Arabidopsis thaliana: one gene and its partners. The protein of the gene in region 4 interacts with the protein of the main gene of each other region in a biochemical or structural test. Each region holds a gene or a part of one and is shown on either strand. Other genes may lie near its edges. The genes, in order: DDL, SE, HEN1 and DCL1.

Region 1 (5,659 bases), on a different chromosome or scaffold from region 4:
ATAAGGATCAAATTTTATATTGTCCATTAATGAAAATAATTTCGATAGAAGCTGAAACAAGATATATTAATTTCATTTTAGCTTATATTCTCCGTTATCTAGCGTTTGATGTAACATTTATAAGTATATATCTGTATTAAGTACAAGAATTTGTTGAGGAAGGAAAAAGTGTTCTTACAAACAAAAATATAAATTTGTCAATGATGGAGACATGTAATTCGTGGGGAACTGCTACTAAGTGTTTAACGATAATATATATGGTTTATAACGTGACAAGGTGATGATAGTCAATTCATCTATTTGAAAATCCTTCAACAAAAAAACAGAAAACGTGATGAAGGCAACATTAGGCTAACACCACAAATAGCTAATTGATATATAAATATAGTCGGTCCACGTTCTCGAACCTTTATAGTCCGGCAGGATAATTATTTTACTATTGTCTAGCTTACAAAACATGTACGACATATTGCACTTTTAGATTGTGAGATACGAATTGTGTGAATTTGTAAAGTTAGTACCGAATCTTTGATGGTTGTTATAATAATTTGCCTCTTTTTCATCAGCAATCTATGACGTAAGAGGCTACGTATGTTCGCTTAAAATTTGACCTAATTTGGACTTTGTCATAGTGAAACCGTATGACAATAACGAAGAAGGTGACGGTGACCGATTCTGATATATGTGACAGTCTAGCCAGTATTTTGCAAAACATAAGATACTAATGAAGTGCATGATGCATGACCGATATTTGAATTAGATATACAAGCCGGCTGGTAGATCATTAGACAACATTTGTTTGTGTGTCTATGATGCGAAAAAAATAAATATTCTCAATCTTTGACAAAAAATATAATAATGACAAAGTACATATCGTTTTGTTCATACGTAAACAAGAATTAGTTTTTAATCGTCTATAATATTGGCGTACACTAGTATATACATGAAACTAAAGATACATCAAATAAACAAGGAGACATGATTTGGGATTCGATGAGCCATCACCCGACAAACCAAAGCATCACCCGAGAAACTCATACTGACCCGTCTCTAAAGCTCGAGTCTATGAATGCTGTCTTCCACATAAGCTTCAAGGCCAACAGTTGCGACTACAAATCGGTAGTAAGGAGAACTACAGATGGGATTTCAGGACATATGTTCCTCGAAGTTGAAAATTTCTCTCCACAAGTTCCTTCATGAGAGGATCAAAGTTGGTGGTAAACCTGGTGCACTCTGTTACAATCAGAACAAGATCACTGTCACTTCTGATGGTTTATGTCGTTTAGCTATCCACCTCAACTATATCTATGATCTTGTATTTGTCTTCTATCCTATCAAAGTTGGTGGTAAAGCTGGTGCACTCGATTTGTTACAGGCTCACCGATTTGTTTGATGATCAATTATAAAATCTTTGTTGCAAACTAGGACGAAGAAACAAAAATCTCGAAGGAAGTACAAGGGTACGACGTTACAAGCGGCTTCTGCCCTAATTATACATATCCTTTCTACCAAACAAGATATGACACGTGTCAACTAATGGAAGTTTTACCATACCGTCTACAATTTGTTTGATATTGAACCCCTCAGTTTCCATTTATTTGCAAAAGAGGCCAAATAAATGATTCTTCTCGTTTTGGCTCTGATTCTTTTTATCTCTGCGATTATTATTATTCACTCTCTCCTCTTCTCTCCGCCGAAGTAGTCACAGTTCCGGCCACCAGGTAAAATTTTTCTTTCTCGTTATGCAGCGATTTTTTCTCTTAACGATTCTTGCAACCCTAGACTATGCCCGGAACTTCTGAATTTAGTATTTGAAATCTGTAGCTTACGTTTTTTGGTTTAGGGCTTTTGCTCCATTTCTAGTTTCTATGCATTTGGGAATTAGGGTTTACTGTGTTATCTGGAGCTCACATGCCTTTTCCTTCTGACCCTGGTTTCAATTTGTGATCTTTCCAAAGGCAAAGAAGAGAGAAAACGACCCTGACTCCAATAATGGCTCCTAGTTCTAGGTCTCCTTCACCACGTACGAAGAGACTGAGAAGAGCTCGAGGAGAGAAGGAAATTGGGAGAAGTAGAGAGAGAGAAGATGATGGTAGAGAAAGGGAGAAGAGAAACAGTAGGGAAAGGGATAGAGATATAGGAAGAGATAGGGATAGGGAGAGAAAAGGAGAAGGAGAAAGAGATAGGGAAGTTGGGGATAAGAGAAGACGATCAGGGAGAGAGGATACTGAAAAAAGGAGAAGGACAAGAACAGATGATGAGAGATACTCTAGAGGAAGACATGAGAGGTCTACTTCACCGTCAGATAGGAGTCACAGGAGTAGTAGGCGTTCACCTGAAAGAGCTATTGCCTCAAGGCATGATGAGGTATTTCTGCTTCTTTCTTTAGCTTGGATATGTTCTTAATCTCAGAAGTGTTTTTTTTTTTGTTTTGGGTTTTACTTGTGCATATTCGTATTCTGCTTGAAAAGATAAATGTGATTGAAATTGTTTAGCTCTGATGTATGCTAGAAAAGGTTAGCCTCTGCTGCTTGTTTCGTCACATAATAAATAATTGGAATCCTGTAATCTAGCTTATCCATCTCGTGAGTCTATAACTAGAACCTGCAGCCAGCCATTTTTTGCTTACTCTGTTGCTAAAGGACTTAAGAAAGATAGTCTCTTTGTTTCCCTTCAGCATGTCCAGTAACATCACTTCTCATGTTTCTCTCTTTTTAGTAAAAGCTCATTATATAGATTATGGTTGCTTTCTGCAAATTATCATTTTCTGCGAGCCACAGATTTTTGTTACTTCTTCAGTCATTTTTATCGCCTTTTGTCTTTTCAGGGGTCTAATGCAAGAGGGGGCAGCGAGGAGCCGTGAGTTTTCTTCTTATTAGATTAGCCGTTACAATTTTTCAGTCTTTCTTTTAACCATGTTATGGGTTTTCGTTAACAGAAATGTCGAGGAAGATTCAGTCGCGAGAATGAGAGCAGTTGAAGAGGCTCTGGCAGCGAAGAAAAAGGTATTATATCAAGCCCTATTGATTTTCAATTTCCAATGTCATTTTGAGCTCGCTTAGCTCATCCATGCATAAATGCTAACGCTTCAAATCTAATTTTGATATATCTTGTAGGAAGAACCATCATTTGAGCTATCAGGGAAACTTGCTGAAGAAACTAACAGATACAGAGGTGAAACTTCTGATCCGTCCATTTCATTTAAGAATATCACCTGTTACCATTACCTTGTGCTAGAAACTTTTGCCATAGTGTTTTCATTGCATGTTTGAACTGCGAAACATCTGCCTTTGTTGTCAGGTCATATTTACTTAATTTTGTATGCGTACGTGTCTGTCACTGGGTAAAAGCTTTCTTTGGTCAATATCTAATGAGACTAGAAGCTTCAATATATAAGCATCTGCTATCAGCAGATATCTTTTGACTGCCAATCCGCTTTTGCTCCTAGGAATGGAGACGGTGGTTTCTCGCATTAAATTTCACCATAGGCATGCTTAGCTTCCTTGACTGAGTGAATCCTTTGCAGGTATCACACTCCTCTTCAATGAGCCCCCAGAGGCTAGAAAACCCAGCGAACGATGGAGACTGTATGTTTTTAAGGATGGTGAACCACTGAATGGTGAGTCTTTGACGTCTTCCACATCTCTATCCATCTGTCTAAGTAGTGGTTCATTTGTCTTCTATGTATTTCACTTAACTATCTTACTGTGGTGAACGTCAATTTTTTGTCCACAAAATATGCAGTAAAGCATGTAGTGGCAATGAAAGAGATACTCAAGAAATTTTGATGCACTCTAGCCATGTAAACTTGAAAACTGTGGTCATTGATGGTTTAGTGTCCAGATAACAGCGTGATTACCGATAGTAGCCAAACTATAGCTTGATACTTCTTAGAACTTGTCAATTTTCTTAGAATGAATCTTATTATGAATGTTAATGACTCTTAGAGGAAAAATAGCTCCTTTGATCTGATATGTTTGTGACTGTGGCTTCCCGTGTCATTCTTACTTTGAACCCCTGAACATTGTATATAAGATTTTACATTTTGTTTCCCATTTCTGTTTGCTTAATAATTCTGAATGCCCTGAATCAGTTTTCTTGATGTATGTTTCTGTGCATGTGAAATGTGTTGGACTAACAGAGCCACTCTGCCTTCACCGCCAAAGCTGCTACCTCTTTGGACGTGAAAGAAGGATTGCCGACATTCCTACGGATCACCCATCTTGCAGCAAGCAGCATGCTGTCATTCAGTACCGGTAGGGTTCTGACATGTATTTCTCCTTTTAAGTAGTAATATCTATGACAATAGATTTAATGAGAATAAGGTTTTTAGTTTAATATTTATGTCACTGTGAATGTGCTTTTCTCAGGGAAATGGAAAAGGAGAAACCAGATGGTATGATGGGGAAGCAAGTGAAGTAAAACCTATCTGCTCTTTCATTTTGCTTAAAATTTGTACCTCTTCTGGCTTTAAGCTAAATTTTAATTTCCCTTAATGTCACTTTCCAGGCCTTACATAATGGATCTTGGTAGTACCAACAAAACTTATATCAATGTAAGTGCTCAATTACATTCCTTCTTATGTGCTTCTTTATCATGGTTAATTCAAACGTTTGTGATTAGAACTTCTTTTACTTTTTCAGGAAAGTCCCATTGAGCCACAAAGATATTATGAGCTTTTTGAGAAAGACACCATAAAGTTTGGCAACAGCAGGTATTCTAATGAAGACACATTCTAGTTCTGGTTTCCCATTATGAATCATACCCCGTGCCTATTCTCTGTGATTAATCTTTGCTTGCTGTGCAGTTAACATCTACTTTCTTCTGTTCTTGACATGTTTTGTTCTTTTGGTTGCAGCCGAGAGTACGTACTGTTGCACGAGAATTCTGCCGAGTGAATGAAATCAGAGTCAAGCAGAAACGAGTAAATCACAAGATTAGATAGTTGCGTTTCTCAGGGTTTTTAGAGATGTTTGAGCTGCTTCATGTATGCTTTCTACCGTGCTGGTGATAATCTCAGACATCATTTAGAAATCTTTTGCTTGCTTGTTATATAATAAATGATGATGAACGATTGGTAAGAGAAAAAGGTTAACTTTTGGTATAACTGTATAAGATCAATCTCTACTTTAAAATTGTCGCTCCCTGAGGGTTTCGACCTAACTTAACGTAGAAACATGGAGACGACTGAGATTTCAACTAGAGTTACCAAAACGGACATCACTTTCTTAGTAAGATAAAGCTAACTCTGCGATTGAAAACTACTTATTTGTCAAGCCTTTAGTGAGGGATTCAAGGATCAAGTCACGGATCTCCTCCCTGCTTGCTCAGTCAAGAGTGGTTCTGCCGTCAGCATCCTTAACCGTGTAGTCAGCGTTTGAGAAGCTCTTCAATTTTAGGCTTGTCTCCCTCCGAGACTGCTAGCATTAAAAGGATGTCGACATGGTGCATCTTATCTTAGGTACCTTCCACCGCAAGTATCCCCATGTAGTTAAAATACTGCAAATAACACAGAAACGACAATAATAAATCTAACATTTCCTCTGTTTTCTTCATTCACAAACTCAGACACAACCACGTACGGAAGCTTTTATAAGCGCCCTTGTAACAAAACAAAGATTGACATATTTGACTCTAGAAGCTTGAAGTGAACACGAAC
Region 2 (6,303 bases), on a different chromosome or scaffold from region 4:
TTCTTTTTCTTTTTCCAAGTAGTAGTTATTAAATAATTACAAGGCCAATGATAGTTGAATTAGTAATAGTAACAGCAATCAATTAGGTTCATATCGACCTATAATTGTTCCTGAACTATTACTTGGTCTATGTATTGTCTTATAGAGTATCTAAACGGTATCTTGCATTTGCAGGGAGAGCTACAAACAGAATCTCAAGCAAAGAAGCAACGCAAATGATGTTGAGAGAGAGAAACAACCTCTGGAAAAGAAAACTTTGGAAAATGGTTGTTAACCTCATTAGAGCTCGTCTGTGATTAGTGTTGTTAGATTTACGATACAATGCCTTATGTGTAATTGTAACATGTGTAAGTGTCACGTCATCTACGCAAGTGTGTAGAATCTGGTAGGCATTGAGCCAGGCTTTGAAGTGTATATATCCTTCTTATTTACATTGAACCCTAAAAACCTGGATTCTTGTGGATAGTCATTCGTTTGACTGCAGATTATATTTAATGGCCATGGAGATTTAAGACTGCCATGGAGACTTAAGTATTGATAACAAACAATGTGGATAAAACGCATTATTCAATACAAGAAATTCTCATGCTATTTATGTAATCATCGTCGAACAGAATTAGTAAGAAAGCACATGAAAAATTTTGAAAAACAATAAGGAAATGTATGGAGTGCGTATTTTACGCTTTAGTGAGTGAAAATTGGGAGGAACAAGACATAATACATCAAAAGGGTAAGAAAATGCCACAATCTGCTAGCTTTGCCTTCTAATACTGATGCCCTTTAACCCAACCCGAACCAGTAAACTCGGGATCTCTCTAGCCCTGTCTTGTCTACAAGCTCCTGTAATCAATAACGGTCACTTCTTCCTCTGGAGCATCTAGGTCTTGGTAGCTGCACCAAATTTCTCATACATTAGTACCTTAGAGACACTGCACTCTTGATCATAGGGTAATGGACTCATAGCACAGAGTGAACTACGTTACCTGCGCAGCCGTCTAGGATCTTGTCTAAAGGCCGGAGACAACAGAAAAGGGGCAGGTCCACCTCTCCCGCTACCTTCAAAAGGAGGGTTGGGTCCACTTGGGTCCCTGAACATCTGCATAGCAACTTCAGGTGGTGCTGGTACAAATGGTCCCAGTGGCCTGACCACATCATCATTCAGACACATTAAGATCATTGATTCAACACAGTAACTAATTTATTCTGAAAACAAGATCATGAAGGGAGTGAGTAATCTTTATTAAACCTACCCAGCACCAGGAACAGGCATCAGCATTGGTGGTGGGTTTATATCCGATAAGAAGGGAGGAACATGAACACCACCTTGTCCACCAAATGCATCATACCCAACTTCCCCAGGATTTCCACCATCATTATCCCCTCTCTGTTGATCTTCTGACCGATCATTTCTGTCATTTCCATTAGCACGTCCATCACGCTCTCTGCGTCCACCTCTATCATCCCTCAGTCTGTTCTCCATGCTGGGTTTACGTCTTATAGGTCTATCTCTCTGTTGAAAGTATAATTAACCCACGTAAATAAAACTCAAACCAAGCTAAACAAGTGATAACCCAAAAGTACAGACTAGTCAACACTCCATTAAATCTCAAAAGAAGATCATGTACCGGGCCAGATTGCTGCGTGGCTGGTTGTCCTCCTGGAGCATTAGGATCACTGCAAATAGCACAAAAAAATTTCATTACGAACCTGTCAGAAACGACAGTAGAGGAATCCAAGAGAAAAAGCCTACATACTTCATATAGTTCTGAAAATACAGTTCTTCCCGAACTTTGGTAGTCAGCTCTGTGACAAGCTCAGTGTGTTTCAGCTTGAGATGCTTGTACACAAATTCAGCAGCATGAAACAGCTTCGTGCAGCCCTTGGCTCCACAACCATATTTCCAACCATACTTCTCATCTCTAATCTTTCGGACATGTGGATCTAAAGCTTCAGTAGCGGCAGCATCTATCTTCTCTTTGGCAGCCATCACTTCCAAGGGATCTTGACCTTTCAACCTCTCTTGCCAATGAGAGTCGAATTTACTTTCATTCTCATCTCCTTTTGCATCAGAAACTTTTCCTTCAGCTCTCACATGCCGCAAACCCTTAGCTTCATTTGTTTCAACCTTTCCGTAATAGTCCAGACCATGAACACGCCATAGATATGTAACAAGCGTGTCAAGTAATTCAACACCCTCAAGGCCTTTCACAGATGTCAACCCCCTTATGATTACAACTGGACCAGTAGAACCACTGTGTAACTTTTCTCTACCTGATTTTTCAGTTTCTGAACCTTGTAAAACATTTTCCTCAATTTTTTTCTCAGAGTCTAGCTTACGCACAAGGGCTTGTGTTTGTTCAACGTCAGTCAGGATTCTCTTTGGATCAGAGGTGAAACTGGGTGCTTTCGGTGCGGCTGAAAGAAGTTCATTCTCTTTAGCTCCACCCATACCATGCCTTTTTCTTTTACCAACACCAGCGGCTTCATCCTCAGAATTAGGCTCACTGGTCCGGCCGGATTTATTCAATGCTGTCACTGCAGGGCCTCTGGAACAGAAGGGAAACTGAGAGCGTTAGAGATGACAGAATTGTGATCAGTCACACATGTGGAATAAAGGCCAAAGAAATGATCTTACAAATCTAGTGTCCCGCTTTGTAAATCAAGTAAGAAATCCTTTGCCACCTTCTGTGCAAGGTCATTCCTCCTGAAAAATTTCAAAGGAATATCTATAGTTGAACAGTTTCTTTAATGAAAAGAAAATTAAAATAATAAAATCAAGGATGTATAGTATTAATATTACACTATTCAGGCACTAACACCGAATCAAATTGCTTCAAATGACTCTTGAACTCACCTTTCTATGACAGATAGTAAGTTTGTTGGATGATACTTATTTTTCAACCTGGTAGATGCGCAACATAGATACACATGTTATTAGGCTAGCTTGCAGAATATCCCAGAAGAATATAAAAGATGAAAAAAGATAGTGAAATCACCAGTCTTCCTCTTTGTGGGTGTTAAAAAAGGCACGTTTTTGTGTTGTGATATACTCTGACTTGTATTCTTGATATCTGCATCAGGAAAAAAGCATTACACCCGCAGCTTTATTATTAAATTGCTTAAGTAACAAGACTAAGTAGCAGAAATGATCATACCTGCGTTCAGCTTCAGATGGCAATATATCATCTTCCAACTCCTGGATAAATTGTTTGTATGACATCAATCCATCCCTGGGTAAAGGAATTACAAAGGTAGTATCGTTAAATGCAACAGCAAGGGAGGATACAGACAGCATCAGTTGTGTGCCACTATAATGGTGTCTCTCAAACATTCACTCTAACTTTCCGGAGCTATAAGGAAAAAAACATATATGTCTCATCGAAGAAAGAACATTCTACAAGGGATGTATCCTCCATTCATTGAGCACCATTAGACAGTTCGCAACTCTTAGTTTACACTAACTTGATTAAAAATACGCTACCAAGAATAAACACGCCATAGGAAAAAGACAACAAACCCATGAAATACAAAGAAAATTTTAAAAAACAAAAGAAGAAGGAACCTTAACCTTTGAGGATTTCCACTGTTGGAAGCATCACCATAACCTCCACGTCCTCCCTCCCAGTCTGCCATAAGTAACACACAATAAAAGGTAGATATTGACATCTTATCTTCTAATGTAAATCGCTTGTTTCCAATCCACAGCATACAGAGAGAAATATACGAAGCTAGTCAAATGAACAGAAGTCCACAAATAATAAGAACGCCCAATGATAGGTATCTTAAACATGTCTCACAAGACAGAAATCATACGAAAAAGTGGTAATACTGATTCTCTCAACTGTAAAAACATCTTAGACAGAGATGTCTCACCCTGATAGCGACCCATAAAGCGACCATGAGGCCTTTCATCACCATAACCAGGCCTCCCACCCATTTCACGGTCATATCCTCCACCATGGTCATACCCAAATCTAACATGCAAAGTAAAAATTGAGTACAGATTAGGAAATCTCGAAAACGATGGAATATAACAACCATCGATACAAGAGGATAATCAACAGTTATCAGCTAAGCAACAATGCAAACACAGTTCCCATATGACTTTGAATTATAATTCAATCGGTAACAAATTAACTCTGATGTAATTCCAATTGAAGTGTAAGCATAAGAAATGAAGATTACCTTCTATCGGGTGGTCCATAGCCACCACGAGGACTACCACGGCGACCATCATAGCCATTATCATCCCTCCGATAACGCTTTTGAGGAGGCGAGCGACGCTGAGGAGGAGAGTGTCGCCTATCTCTATACGGTGGCGGAGGACTCAAGCTAGGACGTCTCTTGTAATCCCTACGAGGCGGTGGGAGAGGCGAACGGTCACGTTCACGGCGATTAGGCGGAGGACGTTCGATGTCTCTCTCGTCACGACGCTCTCGTGAATCTCTCTCACGGCGTAGCGGAAGCTGCTGCTGGTCTTGTTCCTGTTCCTGCTGCGGCAGAGAAGAAGAAGGCGGTGGAGGAGGTGGTGAGGAAGAGGTTGATTTCTCAGGGAGACGGTTATCGACGGAATCAGACGGAGGAAGATTAACATCGGCCATTTCGTTCGGAACCCTAAATCGGAGAATGTACGATTTCACTCGAAGCCTCTGTGTCTCTCCCTCTACCTTTACGGGTTTTGCTGCTGTTACTGTTACAGTGAGCTTTATTTCCAATAGGGCCTTACTCTCAGAGACCCATCTTCGTCTTCATAAATAGGCCTTACTCTCAGAGGCCCATCTTCGTCTTTATGAAAATACAGTATTTGGATTTCTATGTTAATTATTTGTCCACACCTTTGACTATTCCTCCATTTCATCGAAGCAAAACTATTTTAATATTTCAGTCAGATTCTTTCCCATCATTTCCAGAAAAATTCTTCAAACAATTCTGTAAATTAAGCCAATAATAAGTCTTAGTATCTCTGTCAATTTGATAAGATTAGTTTCTATTTTTTATGGGATCACTATGGATTATTTTTTCATAATCTGTCTATGGATTTGATTATTAGTAAAATACTAAAATGTGAGTTGACATGTAACAAAATTGTTTTGTAAAGCAATTGACTAAGACCATAGATTAAGGATGTTTATCATAAACTAATGAATCCTTAAAAAAATAAAAAGACAAACAAAAAAAAGGTGTAAGAAAAGTAACCGGAGTAGAAATAACAACGGCAAGAGAAAGTTACCGTTTTTGGAGTCATCCGTCAAAATCGTCTTTACAAGCAAGCAAATGCTTTATTGCATGTTGGTAGTCACACACATACACACACAATCTCCTTTTTCTCCTCTCGCATAAGATTCCTCTTCTCTCTCTCTCTCTTCTCTCTACCCATCTGATTCGCTGCTGACTCACACACGACACAGACCACCTCTCTCCTTCTTCTTCGTCTCCTGTAGAAGAAGACGTTTTGTTTTCTTTTGGGTTTGATCCTCTCGCGTAACTCCAAAGCTCTCAAAGGACATCTCTTTAGGTATCACCGTTTCTCCATCTTACTGTTGTTTCTTCTACTTGTGTGAAAAATCTCACCTTTTCTAGGTTTTCTTCTACTCTAATGGTCCAATTTCATTTGGGTTTCTTTACCTTTCTATAAAAATCTCTCTTTTTTGTCAAATTCGTGCACTTTTCAGGTTTTGATTTTCGATTACTCTAAGAAAACTTCTTAATTTGTTCAATCAGTTTTGTGTTTTGTCTGCGGTATGACTTTGGTTATGCTCTCCTTATATTCTCTCTCGCCCTATTTTGGGATTCCGATTACGAAAAAGTTGCCTTCTTATGTGATTCTGATTGTTTGTCATCTATCCGATGGTTCTGTGAAAGTTTTACTCTTTCCATAAGGATTTTGCTTGAGGAACTTTAAACGGCGGAACAGGTTACTAAGTTAAGAGAATAGGTTAGATTGTGTTAGGATTTCAAAGTGGAAATTTGTTCTTTAATTGTTGATAGATAGTTGCTTTGAGGGTTTTTTTTATTTGGTATGTATGATTGATTTGTGTTGTGTTGGGAGCAACATAAGCTTGATTTGTATTTGTTGCCTTGGATTTAATTTATGTATCTTCGTTGTGTTTGCTTGGGATTTCTTTGTTTTTTTCTATATACGGAGGCATGAGATTTGAGTTTGAGATTTGAGAGAATGATCATGTCTCGCTAAATAGCAAATATCCTGCAATGCGTAATTTTCATTTGTTTTATATATCATGATGCAATTTGGTAATAAAGGGCACTGTTCTTCTCTCATATTCAACATGAATACAATGATAC
Region 3 (7,547 bases), on a different chromosome or scaffold from region 4:
ATAGCTCTGTTCGGATCTTTATCTATCAACTGTTCTTCCACATAAACAATATCCATTTGTTAGAAAACCTCAATCATAGACAGGTTCAAGAAGATCACTCAAAATTTGAAAAGCTTTTAAGAGATTTTATCACATGAGGAAGAATCTAGAATTCCTAAATTAGGTCAAAAGAAAAATTCCCCTGTCTTGTTTTCGCGGGAAAATTGATTATACCTGCGCGTGTTTGGCTCTGACGTAAGGAGAATCACCAGAAGGAACTTTATGAACAATGTGAAACGGATCACGTCTCTCCGACGACGAAGAACAAGAATACGGTGGTCTCCTCCTCTCCGTCATCGGCATCGCCGCCACATGATCACTTGTTCTCGCCGGCGGCGGAGTATAGTAAACTCCAGGTGGAGCACGACGCTCTACGCAGGGACACATTTTCTTTTTCGATTCTCTCTGTCAATTTACTCAGATAAAGTTCGAGAAAGCTTTTCCCAGAATTCAAATTCTCGTGTTCTTCAGAAATCGCCCTCGTGAAAAAGATCAAGAACGCAAATGCTTTGAAAACGAATCAGTGTCGTTGAAGAAGTGAGAAAGTGATAAAAATCACAAGGACTTGTATTTAAATAAACAAACTTTAACGTAGGGGCAAAAAGGGTAATCTACTGATCTAATCTTTAAACTTCAACGGACCAGTAGACTTGGAGACAAAAGGATCTTGTAAACATAAAGGTTCGATTTTATGGTTAATCTGCAAAAGCTCATGGCAAAAGAACTAAACGAGCTTTGAGTTTTATAGATGAACACGTCATCACATTGCTTGCAATATATATATTCTCTGGTAGATACTACTCTAGTCAAAGATCAGTCTTTTTCTTTTCTACATCTTCTTTCTTCCACTCCCAGATGACTTTATAAGGCTGCATTGAGCTTTCTGCAACATTCTCAACAGATGAAGCTTCCCGTCTAAAAATAGCTATCTGAGAAGCAAATCCGGGTTCTACTTCACCAGACCCACCAACACCGCTAAACTCGACGCTGTAGTTATGGCGTTTGCCGAGCTTTGATGCCCATTGATTGAACTGTTCTCTTGTCCACTCGAATTTGTGGTCATGGTTCCTGAACTTTGGAAGCTGTGGCTCCGAGTTGTTTTCTTCTTGGGTTTCTGGTGTAGACCGCTGGAGAATTGTGTTGAACTCGTAGTTTGGTGTTGAGACAATCAGGAGCTTGGGGTGGAACAAGCTCAGAACTTTTTCCCCAAATTCACAGGCTTGATCTTCTTCCATGTGTTCAATAACCTACAGATTAGGAACAGATTATAGATTTAACGCCGAAACCAGACAGATTGCTTTTGATAAACGTGTACAAAATTTGAAGGATTAGAGAGCAGATGAGAGGTGGACCTCTAAGCAAGTGCCGATGTCAACGTCATGCAGCCTGGAGTCAAACTCAAGGATGGAACCATCATAAAGTGTAGCAGATTTGACGTTGCAAGCTTCCTTGTTTAGTTTTACATGTAGCATCTAAAGTTGAAACACAAGATACACAAAAGCATAAGTAAATCTACCATTTCTTTTCAATTACACAAAATGCAGAGAATCATGAGTGGTGCAAATACATTCTTCATCAAACATTTATCAATTATTTTGATGCATTAGTCTCATCAAGTTATGTCTACGAGCGGGAATAAAAAACAGTGATGTGTGATTTTGCAGACCTTAGCAGCACGGGCAAGACCCTTTGGCGAAATGTCAACACCGATGATGGTTTGAAGTGAAGTTGGATAGTCAAGTAGAGAGTCTAATAAACTTCCAGATCCGCATCCAAAGTCAACCTGTAACAAGAATAGAGGTGCCATCTTATGCTTGTCAAAGATTTACCAATAAGGACAAAAAGAGACTGAAACAAATGAGTTTTAACAAAGTCTTGAATTCATAATCCTAGTAAGCAGGAAGACATTAAGATATATAGAGCTTACCAAAGTAGAAGCGGATGATTCTCTTATATGTTTCAGTGCATATTCAACACGTTGTTTTGAAAGTGGAGGTTTGAAAAAAGCCGCCTCCATTCGTTCTTCTGATGGCCCTTTCACTCCCAACAAAAGTATATTGTAATTTAAACATGGACGTTCTGTGCACAAAAAGCAGAGAAATCCATCACTATCACATTTAAATGTTCATGATATCTCTTAACTTAGTCATAGATATAGGTCTAATTTTTGTTCATCCTCTGTTTACAGCCATGTAAGCTTTGATAATTTTGGCTATGATTTGAAAAAGAAATAAGAGACCGACAGATTCATCTAACTAGCTAGAGCTGACACAGTAAAGTTGAAATGCTAATAATACATTATTCCATAACAGAAAGAATAGAAAAAATAAAATGGACAAGACTTTAAATCAATCCTAAGTTTCACCAGAAGACTTTACGTGAGGTTCTTACATAACTTTGCCTCTTTTTAGTATTAGTGAGAACCAGAGCTTTGTAGTTACTAGTAAGACTAGACCTAAGTTCACTGGTGAAGGCAGTTCAAATGTCTAACATATGATAAAGACCTTTTTTTTTTTTTTCAACCAGAAAATCGTTTTCAGAAATTTATCCTACAACAAATGTAAACATTATAAGTATTACCTGATAGGAGCGAGCGGATTCTCACAGTATCAGAACCAACAGCCAAAATCAAAGCTTCAGCAGCATCAGGGGGTGTCATCCTAAATGAAGCATATTCACCCACAGTCATCTGAGTAACTTCTGATTCAATATGTGGATTCATGGATCCAGTCCCTACCTCAAACTCTATCTCTTCATTGCTTTCAATGAGCTCTACTGAGGATTCACAATTAGCCGAATATTCAGACTCCATCTCTTCATTGCTTTCATTGTCTTCTCTTGGAGATTCACCATCACTCGAATATTCAGGATCCACTGCCAAAGACAAAGAATAGCATATGCTAACCACGGAACCATTTGTTATAGATTGAACACGCTTCTCTGCCGACAGCACATTTGTGTTTTTTGATTCAGAACTGTGTTCCTTTTGTAAAATCGGTGGGGCCGCAAAAACATTAGGACTTGAAGATTTAGTATCCTGGTCGTCATCTGTATCACATGATTGCTCTCCATCCACATCCAGGTCAGCAAAAAACTTACTAAACCATAAGAGGGCCTTTAATGAAGCATTTTGAATGGCATCATTTTCCTTCTCATAGAATTTTCTCGGTGAACATTCTAAAACTAAATCCTGAGACTTTGTAAAAATCTTCACTTCACATCTAAACCCATGCCCTAGTCCTGGTGTATCTTCTTTTTGCCTACTCAAATTCTCATTGGCATCATCAACTCCTGAGACCTTCAACTTCTTGTGAGATCTGAATATGTCGGACAACGATTTCACAGGTGCAGTAGATGAAGAAAGGATGGGTTCTGCTAGTCGGTGCTGGTGGCAGAACAGGCCGAGAATCTCCCTGGGGAGTGGACCTCTCCAATTAGATTTTGTAGTGAATGCAAAAGGCAACTGTGCAGCAATTACAGCTTGTCGGGAAATTTTGTAGATTCCATTGGGTGACATACCGCAACATATTCTGCAGCAGCCACAAAGCCAATGTCATGCATCAGTGCATGATAAGAATAAGATATGCAGTGCTTCATCGGAAGGCAAAGACAAACATCAAATGCATTACTTCAGAGTTAGTAGACGTTACACCAATGCAATATTCCTAAAATCCTTATTCTAGAAGAAGATGTGGAAAGGAAACAAATCAGACATAAAACTGAGCGGTAGGAGAGAAGAGACCTGTAAAATGAATTTACGGTTACATCATCATAGTCAAGATCATCGGACTTCCATCGGTAACCAACAGATGCCAAGATTGCATCCCCGTGAATATCTTGACCACAAATGTAACTTGCTCGTGCATTCCGAGATTTTACAATATGAGATGAGTCTTCATTTGAAGTACCAGAGGCATCTGATGAATTATCCAAGTACTTCTTTGGAATCTCAGAGTACAATCTACACTCAGAGCCACAGGAAGCTTTGCCAAACATCCTGTTGAAAAGAAAAAAATACTTTCATACCAGATTAACACCAAGAAAGCTCCAGTTACTAATAGAAAAAAGACAATATAATCACCTGGATATCATCACTTGGTTGCCATCTTTCAATCCGAGCCTTTCAGCAATACTATCCAAGTAATGCCGGTTTGATGAAATGTAAAGAGTATCTAACTCAACAACTTCCTCATCGATACATGGTATATATACAGCCGCGACTTCTCTGCTATGTAGGGAATCAGATACATGAGTAGCTAGTGCTTCCACGATTTCTGAAGGGTATGCATTTTTCCTTCGGAGTCCATGCGGAGATGCAACAATGTAGTCTGCCAACTTTGCAGCAGCCTTCATAACATAGGAAATGGCCAAGAAAGGATCTGACTCCACAGAAGGATTGATAATTTTACAACGACTGTTAATCTTTGCATCAACTGTAGCAATGACAGAAACGGGAACTGATCCACAACGTTCACCATCTCTTCGCAATGCCGCTCTAAGGTGAGCTCCCAGAGGATGCTCAGCTGAAAGAAACTGCAATCGCAACAAACATTAATGCCAGTACCACTTCCTATTTAGACATCCAGATACCTTTTGGTCCAGCGATATAACTGGTAATATGTTTAACGAGGATGTCGTTACAGCTACAAAATAATAGAAACCAAAATTTTCTTTTCATCAACTAACCTCATCAGAAAATATATACTTAATGCGTCCAACAATTTCATCCCTAGCTTCATCCACAGTAAGATCATCATTCTGAGGGCGAATGCCTAGCTGCAACATGAATAGTCTTGCCTTCGTTAACATAAGAGAGAATAAATTACATAAGATATATATATATATATAATAAACAACAAAGCATACCTTGTCAAGAGCCAATTCAGCAGCAGATTGTTCAGAATCCTTCTTCTTCTTGAAGACATTTGACACAACAGAAAATTCAGGTAGCTGCAAGTGGCAACGATAGAGACATGGACCTTTTTGAGGAATTGCTAATCCTAGACAACCACTCTGAGAAGAGTCATGAACTTCCTCAACTGTATAGCTTGCTTTAGCACCAAACTTCTGATGTATAATCGCCTTTGGAGTAGGAGTATGCTTCCCACCACCGGCCATCACAAACACAATGTAGCTTCTTTAACACACTGAGACAAACAAAAGGGTACACATAAATATTGTCAACGATCAGGAAAGATTGGAACTTTTATGCAAAATGTGCATACCCCTGAAATTAGGGTATCTAAGAGAAGAAGAAGAATGTCTTAAACTTGACAATTCAAATCAGAGCCATAGAAAACATTAATAAATAAACAAAAAGTTCAAAATCGAACCAACATCTATTTGAGTTCCAACATTCTCAATGTTCTAATTCTAAGAAAGAAATTGAGTCAAAGCAAAAAAATTTCGTTCCAAGGAAGTACAGATAGATAGAGGGTTTGGGTATAAACAACAAAAAAGGGTTTTGAGTGTAACATTAGGACAAACGAATTGTCATGAACAGAGAAGATGGGTCAATGAAATTGAATTTCAGAAAGAGCCCAGAAGTTCAAAAAATAAATACACAAACATAAAGCAAGAATAATCGACAACGAACCTAAAGAGTTCAGCGGACTTTCATGTAAGAAGAACTCAGGAGAGAGCAACAGAGAAAAAGAGAGTGGGAGAGAGAGAATGGGGTTTTAGAGGGAGGAAGGAGGGTGTTTTGGTCATTACATGTTGTAGAATCGTTTCTTTTTCCAACTTTTTATTTTATTCCCCTATCCACCATTCTCTTTTTCTAGAAGAAAATAAATACCATTTACGTGTGAAGTTATTATAGGTTTAAGGCTCTGATTGGTAAGGCGTTTTTTAATGTAATTATGTAAAAAAATTCTCATATTAAGAAAATTTGCATAATTGTATAAGAAAACGTAAAAACGCACAATTTGTATTTTTGTTTAAATTTACAAGTAAAAATTCATTATGCAAAAAATGGGTATATAGTTTTTATTCGCATAAGAAATTGTTATTATTTTACGCATCTTAAATACTAACAATTTTAAACAATAAAAAACTATAATTATTTACACAAAAATTATGTTATTAATAATCTACATATACATTTTTGGGGAAGATTTGTGTCGAAAAATCATTTTTCAATTTCGATATTGTATGTTTAGTCCCTACAAAATCAATCAGACAAGATTGTCTTCTTTATGACAATGACCAAATTTTTGATCAATTATTCACGTTTTGCACTAATTACTTACCTAAACAAAAATATTATTTTGCACTACCCTCATAAATTGCACACATTAATCCCTTGAATCTCTACTAATTCAATATTACACGAAATAATATTCCCTAAAAATCCGAACAACCAAATAACTAACCATATCTTTACTTACTTCATTTCAAAATCTCTAATCAGCATTTTCACAACTCTTTAATAGATTTTAAGAATCTTATATTTTTATTATCAAATATTACTTAAAATTTATTAAAAACAGTTTTATTAGTATAAATATATATTGTTGATATAATATTTTATTTGTCGTTCTGTAAAATGTATCCAATCAACATATATTTTTAAGTAATTTGATTCTACGGTTTTTCATTCTACATATTTTATTATGCAACTTATACCGTTATGCTATTATGCAATGTTACGAATCATAACCTTAATGTTTGGTATTCTCACATTTCTTGTGCTTTGTAGCCAAAATTTGAAGAAAACCATGTCATGTAATGAATGCATAACACTAAAATATGAGTCATATCATATGACCAAAAGTAAAAGTGTGATTAAGGAAGAAACATGGAGATTTTAAACAGAACTAGATTTTAACCCGCGGTATACCGCGGGATGATTTATTTTTTTAAAGTAATATCTATTAAAACTTGCAAATTTTATTTTTATAAAATATTTATATTTTACAGTTTATAATTGTTATTAAGTAACGCTATACCACGAATCCATGAGACAATTGTTAAAAAACTGAAGTTTAACCCCTTGTAAAACAGCATATTAATAATATTTTAAAATTTTATAAATATTGATTCAAATACATCCACCATATAACCCAATTCCAAAATAAAACCCGTTCTGTAATTCCTTTACCCGTCCCGTAATATTTTTTTAAAGTAATAATTTTTAAAATTTAAGAATTATTTATTATATATAAAAGTTTTGCAAATTGTATCATTCTCTAACACATTTATATTTTATAGTTTAATTTTATATATAGTAACATTATACATACCACATAACATTTTTGGTTTTATATAATCTTTTCTAAATTAGGATGATTTGATATGTTTAATATTAGTGGTCTTAAAAAATAATAAATTAAAGATTTAACCCGTATTCAAACAGTGGATTAATTATATTTTATTTTTTTATTAATGTTGATTCAAAAACCCGTCTCTCCAAATCCGTCTTGCCAAAAAGCCATTTATTTTATTAATATTAATTTTATTTATGATATGACTCTGAATTATAATCTGAATATTTTAGCTAATAACAT
Region 4 (4,622 bases):
AACCATGAGTATGTAGTCTGATCCAGGCTTTCTTGCCCGGCCACGAGACTGAATGTATGCCAGCACCGTCTTTGCAAGGTCGAAACGCATAACAACGTTACATTGCCTAATATCAAGTCCTTCCTCAGCAACGCTTGTGGCAACTAACAGTGTCACCTATCACAGTAGAAAGAGGAAATAGTAAGACATTTCAGTATAAGATAAAAAAAAAATATGTCTTAATGAAAGACAAAAAAAATCATACATGCCCATCTCGGAATTTGGAAATTGTATCCTGCATTTGAGATGATTTCATCTCCTGGCTGTTATTGTGTCCAATCATGCTGGCACACCGTATAAAACTAAGCGAAGGCAGCTCCGCAAAAACCTGAAAATTTCCAGGCTCAGAGAGACATAGGCAGAAAAATTATACACAAGAAAATAAATTGTTTTTTTCACTTTAATCCTAACCTTAGGAAGAACCAAAGCAGCAACCACCCTCTCAACGAAAACAATAGCTCGAAAATCAGCTGTGTGCTGATATTTGAGGAGTAGTTTGATCAATGATTGTACTTTTGGAGTAACTTTCCCATCAGCCACTGCGGCGCCTATTACTTCATCAACGTGCTCCCCTCCCGAGACCACTAAAACCATAGAGCTCTGTTAATATTGGATTTCTAAAACCGGTAAAAAGCGATTAGACAAAGAATGTGATTAATACTTACCAGGATCATCAGGGAGCTCTCCCTCCTCCATCTCGTCATGTGCATTACCATTTTCTGGTTTGCCAACTTCCGCCGCGACTTTTTCAGCAGCAGCGCCTTCCAGAAGCTCACATTGCAAGAGTGACACCACCTCACTGAGGTATGATTCTTGAAACTTCACGTCGACTTGGAAATTCACCCTCTCATCACTTTGCAAAGCAGACAAGAATGATTGTCCCACCTTGAAAGAAGACACAAAAATTATATCATATGAAAATAACATATCCATTTCAAATTATCGAAAACTATTTACTAAGTTGTTTTTTTACCTTGTAAGCACACCATTGACCCAATTCAGCAAGAGTATAATTGATAGCTCTAAGTTTATGAATCAAATTGGCAGCACCATCGCTCTCCGTTCTTTCAGAGACGCCATAAACCTGTCTCAATTCATCCTTTGCTCCAGCATCCCTAGCCCCCATAAATTGCCACTTGCTTTTCCTTGAACTTGCTTGTGCCGCTTCTTCAACAGCTGCAATCATTTGCTTTATTGTCTCATGAAGAGACCACATAGTAGCAGCTTTGTCATACTCGACGACTATCTCTGAAGGCATAGGCACATGTTTCTCTAATTCTTTTCGATCTTTTATAGTACAAACCGTAGAATCCAACTTGGTCTCGAGGTTACGTATCTTTATCGCACAATCTACTTGGCTTGAAACACCTACGTTTACAAACAAAAAGTGTCACTTTCAAGAACATTGGCAAGCTTAGAGAACTGTATACAAGAAACAATCAGTACCCTTTAAATTAACAGGCGAAGCAGTCATTCCAAAGATGGCAGGTCTTTTATCTTTAGGAGTTGTATGGTAAAACTCTGACATCACTAAAGAGTATGGATGTTTCTTGACAGCGTGGTGACACTCGTCGAGAATAAGAAGATCAATTGTTTCCATTCTAATGATACTGTGTCTCAGTATATTCAACAGAATTTGTGCTGTCATAACTAGAACCTGCGTAGAAGAAAATAGAAAAAAACTCGTTAACTTCAAGAACTGATTCATATAAAAGATCAAAGCTGGTATGAAAAAGAAGCATCAAAAAGCAACCTGCTTAGACTCAAACTCTCGTTGCCACCTTCGAGAATCCCAAAAGTCCTGTCCCATCTCACCACAATAATGTCCAACTTGAAAACAAGTTTGATTACGGATCACTTCTGCTTGCTGATAACGTAAGATAAATCAACCAACCAAAACCAATAGGTAACCAATTTTTTAAAAAAGAATACAAACATGTTTCTTATTAGGCGGTACCTGATAAACCAAAGGCACTTTGGGAACCAAGAACACCGAGAGCATTTTTCTGTTCTGGCTCATCAGATCCTTATGAACACTTTTAATAAGAAGAATCGCGATAAGTGTCTTTCCAGCACCGGTCTCAAGGAAAGCAATCGTGTTTTTCGCTTTAGCTTGTTCAAGAACATCCAACTGGTATCGCCTTGCTTGCTCTTCCACAACCTTCTCTTTACGTTCTTCAGGCTTACTCTTGTTCTCCTCTGCCTTGACATCGCATTCGCGGTTTCCACCACTCACTTTCTTAACATCTCTTTCATGATCAGCTTCCCAAGTCCCTGACCTATAAACCAACTCATTGGAACCAACTTTATCCCTCTCCCAATAACCCCTAACTTCTCTATCTCTACCATCTCTTCTGTAATTGTTACATTCCCTTTTCTTCTTATTGTTACCCGCCTCGTCCCAATTACGAGTACGTTTCCTATTCATAAACCTATCTCCCTCCCTAGAATTATTAACATGCCCTCTACCTGAAAGGTTACTCCTTTCACTCTGATAACTACAAACCCTAGCTCTCTTCCTATCCTTGTCTCCTTCCTCTTTCGAGAATTCGTCTCTCTTACCGCCATTCTTTTGCAACCCATTCTCCTTCACTGTCTCCTTAGCAATAACCTGAGGAGTTACAGTAACCTCGTTGATTTGAGAATTGGTATCAGAAACGCCATTGTTTGGTAAGCCTCCACCGTTCTTGATACTATCTAAAATGTGATCAATCCCACCGAAAAAATCATTGATGACGCCGTTTTCATCAGTGGATTCATTGACAGCAACAGAGGAAGGATCAAATTCAGACACGAGATCATCGATAAGATCACAAGAGATGTCCTCGCAAGCATCTAGCCAATAAGAAGGCTTTATTGTGGCTTCTCTAGGCTCATCCTCCATTACCATAATTCTATATAATAATCAAATCAAGAACATAAGAAAGAGGAGAAAAACTCACTCAAGAAAACCAAATCCCCAGAGAAGAAAACAGAACCAAAAGCACGAGAATTGAATAAACCCAGAAAAAGGGGTGAGAGAAGAAGAGTGTTTTGTGACAGATTAGGGTTAGATAGACCGTACGAAACACGCCAATTTTGAAGTTGTTGTTTGCAGGTAAAAAGGGGTCACGAAGAAGAGCAAGCAAAACCCTAGAGACCACTACTATTGATGATTTCTTTGTAAATAAATAGGAATTGAAAACCCTTTTGCAAAGTGTTTGTGATTCTGAGATTCCACGGTCTATCGATCCCTACTCTGTTCTGTTTCTCTCTTCGTCTTCCTCTCTCTTCTGGTCTGTTTTCCACTTGCTTGCTTCTGTTTTGTAGTAATATTTCTCTCTTTTTTTTTTTGCAATATTAAGATAATTGCCATTAAAGCAGAAGGGTAAATAATTTATTCGACTTTGTAAAAAGTAACTTATTTATTTTATCAGTTTTCTTAGGGTTATCTCCCGAATAGATATCATATGTTAATTTTAGAAGAAAAAAAATTAACAGATGTATTAAATTTATCAAGTAAAAGTGTAAAACTGAAAACTAAAAATGAAAAGATTTCGATATTATTTTATAAAGATTAAGTATTTATATCGAAATCGAAATCTTTTCATTTTTAGATTTCAGTTTTACGACTTATTCCACGCTTTTTACTGTTTCCATGTAAGTTAATATTCGATGAACCAATGAGATACGGACAAGTGGAAAACTATAGTGATTGGTTGGTTCTAAACTTCTAAAATGCTTTTGTTCTGTCATTCTGTGGACCGACTCGTGCAACTTCTTTCCCATAAAAATAAAAATAAAAATAATTATTCTAACTATTTTCAAAAACCTATATTACTTTTTATGATATGAAAATCTTCGTCGATCTCATCTCTTCCTCTCCTTTTAGTCGAGACTCTTCCTGCAAAGCCGTTAAAAAGTATTAACCAGTTTGCACTACCTTTAGTTAAATGTTAAGTAACGCTGCTTTGAAACTAGGCATTGCCTTGCAGAATTGATGTCCATTTGGCGTTAAAGTCAATACCAAAGTCACTAACGTCCATCAATCTATTAATGTGTGTATGGTACACTGATAAAGCAAAACTCTTCGTTTACCTTGATAATGCGTTTACTATTGAAAAGTTGATGAGAACTAGATACGTCTCCAAATCATTATAGTGGTGGTATATCAATGCGTTTTTGTTCTAGATCATTTCCACTCAAATAACACCTTTAGCAAATGCCATCGACTTTTGGCTAACGCCGAAAACAAATTCTTCTTTGTAAGCATCCAACACGCATAGGCTATTTTTTATGGATATTATATAATTTTGAAAATCAACAAAAAGTTTTAAAATCACTATGAAGAAATCACTTATGTTTTACATCTACTTTCATCTCTTTCCACTCCACATATAATAACTAATATAACTACTAGAAAGAACGTAACAAATGTCTGAAAAGTCGAATTTTCTACAATAATTGAATCCAAACGGCAAACGCAATTCGATCTTGGTTCTGTTGCTCGTTTAGTTAACTAACCAAAAACCAAATAATTCAAATAAAAAAATACGCGAAAATATATTGAAGATAGAAGTCGAATAGTGAGGCCGAAGAAACTA

Evidence for each region.
Region 1: the proteins of DCL1 (region 4) and DDL form a complex in vitro, tested with the Arabidopsis thaliana proteins (one study listed by BioGRID).
Region 2: the proteins of DCL1 (region 4) and SE form a complex in vitro, tested with the Arabidopsis thaliana proteins (one study listed by BioGRID).
Region 3: the proteins of DCL1 (region 4) and HEN1 form a complex in vitro, tested with the Arabidopsis thaliana proteins (one study listed by BioGRID).

Annotation. Positions count from the first base shown.
Region 1 is NC_003074.8:7,173,934-7,179,592, reverse strand, and holds DDL (SMAD/FHA domain-containing protein), read left to right. Parts: upstream 1-1,572; 5' UTR 1,573-1,721; intron 1,722-1,958; 5' UTR 1,959-1,992; coding exon 1,993-2,367; intron 2,368-2,827; coding exon 2,828-2,859; intron 2,860-2,938; coding exon 2,939-3,005; intron 3,006-3,116; coding exon 3,117-3,174; intron 3,175-3,526; coding exon 3,527-3,619; intron 3,620-4,141; coding exon 4,142-4,256; intron 4,257-4,370; coding exon 4,371-4,418; intron 4,419-4,509; coding exon 4,510-4,555; intron 4,556-4,643; coding exon 4,644-4,714; intron 4,715-4,858; coding exon 4,859-4,898; 3' UTR 4,899-5,157; downstream 5,158-5,659. Other genes in the region: AT3G20555 (uncharacterized protein), read left to right, coding at 979-1,119, 1,202-1,393. UniProt on the Arabidopsis thaliana protein: Involved in the microRNA (miRNA) and short interfering RNA (siRNA) biogenesis. May facilitate DCL1 to access or recognize primary miRNAs. Binds RNA non-specifically.
Region 2 is NC_003071.7:11,570,885-11,577,187, reverse strand, and holds SE (C2H2 zinc-finger protein SERRATE (SE)), read right to left. Parts: upstream 4,792-6,303; 5' UTR 4,602-4,791; coding exon 4,186-4,601; intron 3,975-4,185; coding exon 3,874-3,974; intron 3,627-3,873; coding exon 3,569-3,626; intron 3,231-3,568; coding exon 3,156-3,230; intron 3,072-3,155; coding exon 2,997-3,071; intron 2,903-2,996; coding exon 2,855-2,902; intron 2,705-2,854; coding exon 2,636-2,704; intron 2,547-2,635; coding exon 1,755-2,546; intron 1,675-1,754; coding exon 1,626-1,674; intron 1,511-1,625; coding exon 1,251-1,510; intron 1,143-1,250; coding exon 984-1,142; intron 892-983; coding exon 831-891; 3' UTR 530-830; downstream 1-529. Other genes in the region: FRS3 (FAR1-related sequence 3), read left to right, coding at 175-219. UniProt on the Arabidopsis thaliana protein: Acts as a mediator between the cap-binding complex (CBC) and both the pre-mRNA splicing and primary microRNAs (miRNAs) processing machinery.
Region 3 is NC_003075.7:11,185,419-11,192,965, forward strand, and holds HEN1 (double-stranded RNA binding protein-related / DsRBD protein-like protein), read right to left. Parts: upstream 5,706-7,547; 5' UTR 5,636-5,705; intron 5,402-5,635; exon of another isoform or gene 5,187-5,401; 5' UTR 5,158-5,186; coding exon 4,906-5,157; intron 4,816-4,905; coding exon 4,726-4,815; intron 4,573-4,725; coding exon 4,121-4,572; intron 4,037-4,120; coding exon 3,782-4,036; intron 3,570-3,781; coding exon 2,620-3,569; intron 2,119-2,619; coding exon 1,967-2,118; intron 1,823-1,966; coding exon 1,706-1,822; intron 1,512-1,705; coding exon 1,392-1,511; intron 1,287-1,391; coding exon 846-1,286; 3' UTR 518-845; downstream 1-517. Other genes in the region: MS5 (Tetratricopeptide repeat (TPR)-like superfamily protein), read right to left, coding at 1-29, 214-426. UniProt on the Arabidopsis thaliana protein: Methyltransferase that adds a methyl group to the ribose of the last nucleotide of small RNAs (sRNAs). This protects the 3'-end of sRNAs from uridylation activity and subsequent degradation.
Region 4 is NC_003070.9:21,826-26,447, reverse strand, and holds the start of DCL1 (dicer-like 1), read right to left. Parts: upstream 3,033-4,622; 5' UTR 2,930-3,032; coding exon 1,997-2,929; intron 1,907-1,996; coding exon 1,793-1,906; intron 1,697-1,792; coding exon 1,486-1,696; intron 1,408-1,485; coding exon 1,013-1,407; intron 925-1,012; coding exon 705-924; intron 624-704; coding exon 451-623; intron 368-450; coding exon 245-367; intron 157-244; coding exon 1-156. UniProt on the Arabidopsis thaliana protein: Ribonuclease (RNase) III involved in RNA-mediated post-transcriptional gene silencing (PTGS). Functions in the microRNAs (miRNAs) biogenesis pathway by cleaving primary miRNAs (pri-miRNAs) and precursor miRNAs (pre-miRNAs).